Linked DNA regions of Xenopus tropicalis. The protein of the gene in region 1 binds, or shares a complex with, the protein of each later gene. Links are inferred from orthologs where the notes say so. Each region holds a gene or a part of one and is shown in the gene's direction. Other genes may lie near its edges.

What was found.
Region 2: ercc2 (region 1) and polr2d share a complex: the UniProt entries of both Homo sapiens proteins name them as parts of the TBP-based Pol II pre-initiation complex. The link is inferred for Xenopus tropicalis from reciprocal best matches to the Homo sapiens genes ERCC2 and POLR2D.

What each region holds. Positions count from the first base shown.
Region 1 is NC_030684.2:70,778,532-70,783,890, forward strand, and holds part of ercc2 (TFIIH basal transcription factor complex helicase XPD subunit), read left to right. Parts: coding exon 1-33; intron 34-820; coding exon 821-937; intron 938-1,044; coding exon 1,045-1,168; intron 1,169-1,240; coding exon 1,241-1,337; intron 1,338-1,564; coding exon 1,565-1,698; intron 1,699-1,940; coding exon 1,941-2,109; intron 2,110-3,329; coding exon 3,330-3,448; intron 3,449-3,558; coding exon 3,559-3,628; intron 3,629-4,004; coding exon 4,005-4,074; intron 4,075-4,173; coding exon 4,174-4,275; intron 4,276-4,367; coding exon 4,368-4,431; intron 4,432-5,359. UniProt on the Homo sapiens protein: ATP-dependent 5'-3' DNA helicase. Component of the general transcription and DNA repair factor IIH (TFIIH) core complex, not absolutely essential for minimal transcription in vitro.
Region 2 is NC_030681.2:125,370,711-125,376,648, reverse strand, and holds the start of polr2d (DNA-directed RNA polymerase II subunit RPB4), read left to right. Parts: upstream 1-2,021; 5' UTR 2,022-2,034; coding exon 2,035-2,107; intron 2,108-3,858; coding exon 3,859-4,039; intron 4,040-5,938. UniProt on the Homo sapiens protein: Core component of RNA polymerase II (Pol II), a DNA-dependent RNA polymerase which synthesizes mRNA precursors and many functional non-coding RNAs using the four ribonucleoside triphosphates as substrates.

The sequences.
Region 1 (5,359 bases):
GACCCAACTGTACAAACCTGTCGTTTTTTTGAGGTATGAGGCAATTAAAAGAAATTCCAAACCAAAAATTTTAATACTTGCCAAAATATTTACTTATAACATTCATGGATAAATGTGTAAGGTCTTACAAGTTCCATGTACTTGTGGTAAAAGTTGAAGACATTCTACACTGTCTGTGAGCTTAACTGCAATTTTAACTTTTAAGTGTTGTGTAGCATGTAGGGATAAAGAAACATTTTCTATAGTTCAACAGCATTCTCCTCTCTAACACTTCCTCCAAAGTCTCCAATTTTGCTTAGTACAGAGCCTGATTTCCTTATCACCTTATTAAAGAAGAAGGAAAGCTACTCAGGCATTTTATTGCCAATAGATTAGTCACAAAAGTGCAAGCTAGAGCTTTATATTTATTTTGCAGGCTGCTTTACCATACCTGAGTAAACAGGTATGGTTTATTTAAGAAAGCAGCAGCCATTTTGTCCCATGCAGAAATTTAGTCGACCGCAATAGATCTCTCCTACCATGGGCGACTAATCTCTCCAAAATGCATTTCCATCGTCAACAGTACAAATCACTTCAGTTTTCCCAAGTCAGGCAAAGTTGCCTGCAGGAGGAAACTTTACACAAAGTTTAGACCAAAGCAGAGCATAGATTGTAAAAAGCACTTGAAAAGTAAAAAAAAACATAACTCTTTCATAGCTATCTGCCTTCCCCAGGTGAGCATACATCATGTTTAGCAAAATAAAGATGGGGCAGAAAGGCTTATTTTGGAAAATCAAGTGATTACTCTGCTACTAACCCTGTTTTTTTTTTTTTTTTTAAGGAATTTGATGCAATTGGACGTGAGACCCCCCTTCCTCCTGGTATCTACAATCTGGATGACCTTAGGACTTTGGGTAGACAAAAAGGCTGGTGTCCTTATTACCTTGCCCGACATGCTGTGAGTGTCTGAATATTTCTCATGCAGTCCTAACTTGTAGAAGATATAATTGACTAGTATATCTGAATAAATGTTTGTGTTTTAAATTATGTTGTGTATTTTTGCAGCTCGGACAGTGCAATGTGGTTGTGTACAGCTATCACTACTTACTGGATCCCAAAATAGCTGACCTTGTCTCTCGTGAACTTTCCAAGAAATCTGTTGTTGTCTTTGATGAAGCTCATAATATTGGTAAGTGATAAAACTGAACTTACCTGTCTATTTCACACGCCTGCAAAATTAATCTGCCCTCTTACTCTTTAGATAATGTCTGCATTGACTCTATGAGTGTCACCATCACACGCAGAACCCTGGAGCGCTGTCAGACAAACATTGAAACTCTCAACACGGCAATAGAAAAGTAAGGGATGTTTTGTGGAGGACAGAAGAAAATAAATTCTTGCATAATAAAAAAACTGTTTTAATAGAAGTAAAACTGGTTAAATAATGGGAGATAAATGTGAAGGGTACATTCAGAAAATTAATGAAAAAAAGTGGATGCGAAGGAGAGCCGGTAATAGGTGAATATTGAGAGAAAAGGTAAGGGAGAACTGTTATTCTTTAGCTTTATTTTTGTTGTTTTCATAGAATAAAAGAAACAGATGAAAAGAAGCTGAAGGAGGAGTACGCTCAACTGGTGGAGGGATTGCGGGAGGCCAGTGTTGCAAGGGAGACTGATGTGTACCTGTCCAACCCTGTCTTACCTGATGAAATTCTGCAAGGTAAGAGAAGTTGTGCTGTTAATTTAGTTTTTTTCTGTAAACATTAAGCCTATCATGCTCTTCAGGAGGCTGCACCTGTTACTCCCCAACTTAGTTCAAACCTTTTCAACAGCCTTGTTCACTGGACATTAAGCTGTTTGTTGATTAGTTATACATTTTGTATAAATACTTTATTGAACAGCCAAAACTGTTTTTCCTTCGCTACTGAAATGACTAAGGACTGACTTTCGTGTTGTATGCAGAGGCTGTGCCAGGCTGCATCCGTAATGCTCTCCACTTCCTGGGTTTTTTACGACGATTAGTGGGCTACATCAAATCACGTCTACGTGCAGGCCATGTAACACAAGAGGGCCCTGCTGCCTTTCTTCGTGACCTTTATGAGAAAGTCTGCATCGAAAGGAAGCCAATGCGGTAAGGGTTGAGTTGTTGATTACAAAGATAATGCCTAGTAAGTATTACTAATGTGTTCAGAAATATCTTATTTAAATTGATGCAAAACTTTCACATATAATATTTTGTTATACATAGCCTAAGAAAGATTTCACAACAGAAATTTGCTGGGCTTTCTGTTACTGTTGTATTAGTTGAGAAAATAATTGAAACTGCATTTTGCAGCTGGTTATCTCCAGCTGAAGTTCAAGCTCCAGAGGGCTTTGTAATTATCTGATGTTCTGAGTCACATGGCTGTTTATTTTCTTTGGCTTACTAATGACCTTTGTTGCTTAGATTGGGGGACACAGGCACTATGGGGCTAAAGATACAGGAGAGTACACACGGAAAGGTTAAAATTGACTTCTTAAGAGCTTTGCCCCTGCTACCTCCCTTAATCCTTAGTTTCTCTTAATGTGCTCAAAAGGAGAAAGGACACATGGTGGCTCAGGAATAAAATAGTCAGGACTATGGTTATAGGTCATGCCACTAAGGCCTAAAAATAATCTCCCAAATGACTGGGATCTCTAGTTTCCACTCTCCAGGGGTCTGCACTGGTTAACACTCCCAGAGCAACATTGGGGCAAACACTTAGATGGTGTGGAAGGATTTTTATCCTCAAGGTACCTATGCCCCCCATAGTAAGTGAAGAGAAAGGGATTTAATGGTAAGTACAAAAATTGTTCTTCTAGTAACATTTCTTTATAGTGACCTCCTGTACAAATTGAGAAATACTTAAAAGGGATAGTTCACCTTAACCCGAGTACTGTAGTATTTTTTTTAAACTCTGTCAACTGTAATCTGACTGTTCCATTTTTTTCAGTACTCTAACAACCAGTCAGAGGTTTGCAAAATGTTTGATTTTTATGTATTTGATAGAGATGATTATTAAAGAGCCTGAAAATAATGATATGCAATAAGATAAGAATTACAATAAAACTAAACTATGGGTTTTTTGTTTTTGTTGCTGGCGTCCATGATCCCTGACAGTTAGAAATAGAAATAATAATGAAAACAGACATAATATTAAAATTACTCATTGAATGAATGAATGATGAATGAATAATTCAAAAACCATAAAATTAACTAAGACAAGTTTAAATGTTGCTTGAAATAGGTTAATTTATAATAAACTAATCTACTAAAATTAAAAAAAAAATGGGAATTTTTCCCTTACAGATATTAAATCTTTTGCCTTTTAGGTTCTGTGCAGAACGGTTGCGTTCCCTCACACGCACTCTTGAGATAGCTGACATTACAGACCTCTCTCCTCTTACCCTCATAACCAACTTTGCTACCCTTGTCAGCACATATACTAAAGGTATTTTCCTCACAGTTGGATTCTGTGTATTCTTGCTTGCCCTTCCCATCACCTCTCTTCCTACAAACCATTTTATTTCCCTTGTGAACCATGTCTCTGTTTTCTTACAGGTTTTATGATAATTATTGAACCATTCGAGGACAGAACACCATCTATAAGTAATCCTGTGCTGCACTTCAGGTTACTAAATATTTTTCTCCTTGAAATGCCCATCAGTGCTATTCTTTCCAATTTCTTACTTTTTGCCAATTTTTGGCTTAATATCTTTTTTTTTGGCTCGTAGGAATGATTTTCTGCCTCTAATTCCTCTTTCCACACACACATTCATACAACTTTTTTCAAAATACAGATTCGGTGCGCAGTATTTTTTTTTCTTTGATCTTTCCAACACAATCTTTCTTTTTTCCCTACTTCTAGTGCTCCTGTAGTCTGGTCAATGTTTCTCTTGGTGCCCACTGTCCACCTTTTCAAAGCCAATTTTCCTTCATTTTTTTTCAGCTTTCTCTCTTACAAAGACTGTATACTCTAGCCGTTCTTGTTTTTATCATTAATTTAGCTGTCTAGATTCTTCCCTTGCAATTAAACCTGTATTCCAGAGATTTCAGTCTGTCATCATCACGTCTGGGGTAAGAATTTTTTTTTTTTTTACTTTTTTATTTTTCAAATTTTTCTTCTAATCCTGTGTAATCTATTCTTTTTTAAAAATGTGACTTTTACACAACCAGACCCTCTCTCCTTTGGATATCTACCCCAAAATTTTGGATTTTCGCCCTGTTACTATGGCAACATTCACAATGACCTTGGCCCGTGTTTGTCTTTGTCCTATGGTAAGAAAAGGTTATATATTGCATATGATATCTTTTATACATAAGAGGTAAATAGTGAAGGCTTACTTGCAGTTGTTTACTGTATGCTGCAGGTCGTGGGCCGTGGGAATGATCAAGTGGCAATGAGTTCAAAGTTTGAAACAAGGGAAGATCTAGGTAAATAACATATTGAAATCTGAAACATCCTTATTTGTTTTAATGGAAAACTAAAGCTTTAGTTAAAGAAGCCGGCTAGAAATGTTGTACATTATGTTTTGGGGTTTTGTACCAGCCCAAGGCAACAAAAGCCTTTTGGCAAAGAAGGTGGTGTCAGTTACTAAGCTTAGGGCCAAACTCACAATATACTGTATACATACATACAGATATATTATGTCACAGTATAAGGCTGATTAGTAATTTATTCAGTTTACATGGCAGACTGAAACCAGTGCAATTAGCATCAGAATGCCCTGTAGCATCAGCCTCATTTTCTTCTTAAAGGAATACTGTCATGGAAAAACATGTTTTTTTTCAAAATGCATCAGTTAATAGAGCTCCTTCAGCAGAATCCTGCATTGAAATCCATTTTTTAAAAACCCAAACAGATTTTGACTGCACCTGCATTGCCAAAAGTGGTAGATATCAGAATAGCACTCTGTAGTAAAGAATCCAAGTCTGGCTTGGGACTGCTTCAGCTAAAAATAGCTTATCGGAAAGCAGTTCCAATATGTGGCTCCTTCTGAAAGCTCAGACTCAGGCACAATGCACTGAGATGGCTGCCTACACACCACTATTACAACAAAAATTTTTTAAAATTTGTTGGTTCAAGAATAAAAGTTTAAATGGTAGAGTGAATCATTTGCTATGTAAACCGTGTAATTTAGAAATAAAAAGTACGCTATAAAATCAGAGAGAACACAGGTTTATATTTCCTTTAATCATACCCACACTGTACAAAATCTCTATTCATAATCATCTCATGACTTTAATATAAATTATGCATGGGGTTGGTGGGGTTCTCCAGGTGGAGAGTTGTTTTTAACCTGAACTGTTTTCTTAATAGCTTTTTTTTTAATTTCTGCTTGTTCTCTGTGTTCTGTCTTAC
Region 2 (5,938 bases), on another chromosome or scaffold:
CATGTTTGGAGAGGCAACTCTGGTAGAGTGCAAGCATGTGTGGCAGAGAAGAGGGAAAACAGTTTTTGTACATTACAGGTTTCCCTAGTGCCAGCTCTGCCTTTATTCCTTTTCTTCCCGATGGAACATCGGCGTGCTGATGAACCATCTGAGATGGAGAGGGTAACAATACCCCTTGCACAAACTGTCACTTTCCCTAAGGAATCGATTGTTTTCTGTTCCATGCTGCTAAGAATAAATTGAAATGATTGAATTGAGGATCAGTAATGGTTTATTAAATTGTGAGATGACCAAAGGTACCATGAATTGTGCACTGTTTCAGAAATATCTTCAGGAAAAAGTCCAGTCATTTGTCTATGAGCCAATCCTTTCTGGGTTCTGGCAGACAAAAAACAAAATTAGTTTTGTATAAGCCTAAGTTCTGACTTAAAATAAGCAGTTTATGCACAAAAACCAATGTGCATGGATGAAAGCAATGCTACAAGGAAGAGTGGGCTAGAAATCCTTATCAGCCATGTAAAAGATAAATCAAAGCATTTGGTTACAGTTATTGTATAAAAAAGTGCTGCAACCAGTTAAGTTTAAAGGAAAACATACCTTTAGAATGAATAGTTAACCAACAGATTATATCATATTAAATGGCCTATTAAAGAATCCTACCAAACTGCAATACATATGAGGAAATAATGGCCTTCTACATCTTTTTCTTTGAGCCACCATTTAGTGATGGGCTGGGTGCTCCCTCAGAGATCACCTGACCAGAAATAATGCAGCTCTAACTGTAACAGGAAGTAGTGTGGGAGTAAAAGATAGAACTCTGTCCATTCATTGGCTGATGTGACCTAACTCATAAATTGTATGATCCCATGGGGTAGCCTGTAGTACTTAAAGGAAATGTAACACTAAATGTTTTTAAGTAAAAACACTATTCTACCCTGCCCCAATAACTGCCCTATCCTGCAAACCACTTAGTATTTTAAATGCTTTAATAGAAAATACCTGCTAAAACTTGGCTTCCTCTCAATTGAACTACAGGGATAGGGCAAAAGGAGCTGCATCCACTATGCGACGATCGATTGATCGAGCCTAGCCTGACTCCTTCCATACAGAAAGAAGGCTAGGCTCGATCAATCGATCATCGCATAACATGCTACTACACATTTTGTATGAAAATGGTTGATCTAAATGAAGTACAGTTTTACAGCTGCATTGTGCCATATATATTTATAGAGACCTACATTGTTCAGGGGTATGGTTTTAATTTAAAGTACACAGAAGATTTTGATCAGATATTATCTGACCCAGCACAAGATCGTGTAGGATCATACCAAACCTGATCCCCACAGCTGTAACACAAATCAGATCAAATGGTGGGTTTTGTCCCTGCATCTACATCACACAATGTGTTTCAATGAGAGAAAAGTATTTCAGACGCCATCAGCTTTTATCTTGAATAAACGTATCTCTGAGCTGCAGCACAATCCAACACTGCCCATTTAGTACAATGTATTCCTGCATTAAAAGTCTGATAGCTGCTCCGCCAGCCCCTCCACTTGCCTAAATGCTAAGCTAGAGTTTCCCAAACTGTGACTAGTAAGGCCATGGAGTCTCTGCTGCCCATGTGTCGTGTGTAGCCACTGTGCGTCTGTATAATGCTCCCTGAATGCAGCCTTTCCTACAGGCCAGTTAAAGGCCACTACTATAACGCTAACGCACCTGTTCACAGGTAGAGAAATGCCTTTTAAAAGTATGGAACAGGGCCCTGGGCAGGTGCTGCTGGCTATTTAGCCTGCCAGCGAGAAGCTCTAACAGTGCGAAGATACCCATAAGCCTGCCAGGTATTTAAGAAACGTTACCATTTCCCACATCGGTTACGGGCTGAGGCCTCCCCCAGCCACACTGCTATTCAACATTCCCGCCGCAGTACGACCCTGTAGTTAAAGGCGCCCCGCGCAGTCACGTGGTGCTATGACGTAAACCAGCAGGGGCTTGTGGGTAATGGGAAGTAGTCACTAGAGACGCTGAGACCCGGTTATGGCTGCTGGCGGAGCGGAGGCGCACTCTGGGGACCCGGAGGAAGATGCTTCACAATTACTGTTTCCCAAAGGTACGTGATAGAGCTCAGGCCTATAGTGTAGCCCCCCCCTTACACCCCCGGATGTTCCTGCACACACTGGCGGGATGCACAGAGCTCCCAGCAGCAGCAGAACACAAACGCCTGCGGAAAGATAAAGCCCAAGTGCTACCGCCATCACACTGGGTCCTCTCTCTCCCCCCTCATTAGCCCATTGCCATTCAGTACCCTGAGTAACCCATAGGCTGCTATACGTTTATCATAGCAGCTGGGACAGAGGGCTTTTTATCCCATGTTTTACTGTACGTGCAAAGATGTTTGCGAGCACTTTGGCTACTGGGGCACCTTTGGGGGCACAGATCTTCCCTGCTAAAGGGCTGTGGTTGCCTTGGGCTGGTACAGAAGCACAAAACATTTCTAGCCTACTTCTTATAAGCTTTTCTTCTTTTTTTTAAAGGTGAATTAAACCCTTTAATTGTTTAACTTGTATGACCCCTGCCACCACCCCAACTGCCAAAAGCCACCTGTTCCCTGCCCCCCCATATGAGTATGGGGGGGGGGGGCATATGAATTTCAAATATCCTTACTGCTAGCACGGGTGGGTCCAGGTGCACATGTCCCAGACCTTCAGCAGAGGGAGTTTACAAGGAACACATTTGCAGGTTGGGACCCAACCAGAAATCTTTACAATCTTATACAAAACAAATTCAAATGCCTTATGCGTTTTGTGTTGCCAAGACACACAATCATAGGCTCAATTGATTAAGTGCCTCTTGGCAACACAAAATGCGTAAGGCATTTGTATTTTGTATTCATAATGTAAAATGTAATTCTACAGACTGTAATAACTTATGGCTTCTGGTTTCAACTAAGTGGTCTTGATTGGTGCCTGCAACTGATCACTAGTGAGGAACATGGCACCCGATGCCAGGAAAAGGTTGGCACTCAGTATGCCTGTCACCTTTGTGCCTGGAACCGGAAGTGACTCGGCCACCGACTCTGCTTTCTTAAAGGAACAGTAACACCAAAAAATAAAAGTGTATAAAAGTAACTAAAATATAATGTGCTGCTGCCCTGCACTGGTAAAAGTTGTGTGTTTACTTCAGAAAGTCTACTATAATTTATATAAATAAGCTGCTATGTAGCCATGGGGGCAGCCATTCAAAGGAGAAAAGGCACAGGCACATAGCAGATAAAACACTATTGTATTCTACAGAATTTATCTGTTATCTGCTATGTAACCTGTGCCTTTTCTCCTTTTTTCCAGCTTGAATGGCTGCCCCCATGGCTACACAGCAGCTTATTATATAAATTATAGTAGTGTTTCTGTAGCAAACACACCAGTTTTACCAGTGCAGGGCAACAGTGCATTATATTTTTATTACTTTAAAGCTCTTTCATTTTTTGGTGTTACTGTTCCTTTAACTCTTCATGCTGTCCCTGTCTTCTGCAGGAATGGGTGTAGGTGTCAGATGGGGCTAATAGGGCAGGTTTGGGTAGATATTACAGTTGTCAAATGTGGGTGCCACTCAACACCAGGAATGGGATGTAGGTGATAAATATTTATTGTTGCTCTGTTTTATTGTGCAGTATTATTTGTGAGTGGGGAAGGGGCGGCAAGGTTTGAAAGAGAAAGTTTTGTATAGAAAAAACAAATAGCTGCTTAAATGTATGCATTGATTGCCTATGGCAGGGAAATCTCTTAAAATATTGGCTGTAATATATTCCGTCCCTATACCAGTTCAGGCCTTTACATGTCGGTTTTGCTTCTTTACATTGTGTAGAGTTTGAGAGTGCTGAGACTCTGCTGAATTCGGAGGTGCACATGCTCCTGGAGCACAGAAAGCAACAGAATGAGAGCGCGGAGGAAGAACAGGAGCTCTCCGAGGTCTTCATGAAAACCCTGAACTACACTGCCAGGTTCAGCCGCTTCAAGAACAGAGAAACCATTGCCAGTGTCAGAAGGTACCTGTCCTATTCCCCACTACATGCAATGTGTGCCTTGAGCTAGCTGCATGGCGAGGGCGCTGTAGTGCTGGCTCTCCTTGTGGCGCCCAGCAATAGGACCATCAGGATAAGATTTTGGGGAGAATTATTATGTTACTGTTTCCCTGCTTGTGGATCTGTAGCAGTGTGACTGGTAGGACCATGTTTTAAAGGAGAATGCAAGTCAAAATGTAAAAAGCATACTGCCCAATAGTCCTCCTATTGTTTAGTAAAAACGCCACACTTTTGGCTCACCTAATCAAATATTTACTCAGTCACACTTACTTCACATTTTCTAGAACAGGCAGCCATCTCTAAAAAGGTATTCTCCCTTCCTTTCCCTCCTTGCTTCATACTGCACATGTGTTTCATTCCCTCCCCCCCTCCCCTCTGCCAGATCCGCTTCTGATTGGCTGGTGGGCATGTGTAGCTCAGAACAGGAGACAGGATCAAGTTACACACATACTCGGAGAATAGGAAGGCTGCCGCTGGCACCTACAGGAAGGGGAGAGAGATTTCAGTGATGTCACTGTAGGCTTCACACCGCTGTAGGCTGCCAGCACCATATCTCAGAGAAGCAAGCAGGGATCTGGGAATTTAGATATGCAGTAAGTACTTAAAAAAATGCCTTTAGACTTCCTTTTAATTTATATTAACCTTTCATTGTCCTTTAAAGGATTATTAAAGGTATTTATAGAGGTTAATACCCCTGGAGAGCCACCCCTCACCTGATATTGTTGCCCCACTTTCCTTACCCCTTCACACTGGCTGGGGGTGCCATCTCATGCTGCTTCTCTTCCAAGTGATTGCTGCCCGGGAATATGCACAGTGAAAGGCTAGCTCCTTTGGCTTCATCTGCACATGTTCCTGGTGCAAGTTTGCTGCAAAGTTGAAGCAGTGCAAGATGGTGCCCACTAACCCCACTGCTTTTTCTGAACAGTTAAGGCACCAAGTGCAGTTGTGCCATTTGGAAGGTGGGTTGGATTTCTCCCCGGGGGCTGCTAACTTGTATATATGATGTCTTCCTTAAAGAAAAACTGTACCCCCAGAATGAATACTTAACAATCAGTAGTGTGGGAGCAAAAGGCAGAACTGTGTCCATTCATTGGCTGATGGGGCCTAACATGTATGTGTGCCTTGGCTTGTTTGTGTGCACTGTGACTCCTATGATCCCGGGAGGCGGCCCTTAATTCTTAAAATGGCTATTTTCTATTTAGGATTACCCAATAGCACATACTACTAAAACCAAATATATTTTGAAGAAAATGGTTTTATTTAGATGAAGCAGGGTCTTACATATAAGATTGTTTATGCAGTCCTGATTTTTATGGTGTAATTTTTTATTTCTAAATTACACTGTTTACATAGCAAATAATTCACTCTACCATTTAAATGTTATTCTTGAACCAACAAATGTATTTTTTAGCTGTAATATTGGTGTGTAGGCGCCATCTCAGTGCATTGTGCCTGAGTCTGAGCTTTCAGAAGGAGCCAGTGCTACACATTAGAACTGCTTTCAGGTAACCTATTGTTTCTCCTACTCCCATGTAACCGGAGGAGTCCCAAGCCGGACTTGGATTTCTTACTATTGAGTGTCTATGAAGATTTTCATTCATCCAGGTCATGGTATATCTAGTATAAATAAATTTAAAGCAACTGGACTTGTTTAGTAATCATTGAAGACGTTTCACTACTCATCCGAGCAGCTTCTTCAGTTCAACTGACTGGTATGGGAAGTCCTCAGCATATATACTCTTCCACTAATCCAATCACAATGGCACTTTGTAACTCTTCAGAAAGGTGACATCTGAAACTCACAGAGGTGTGCTATTCTGATATTTACTGGGAGCTGCTATCTTGCTCCCTTCCCATTATTCT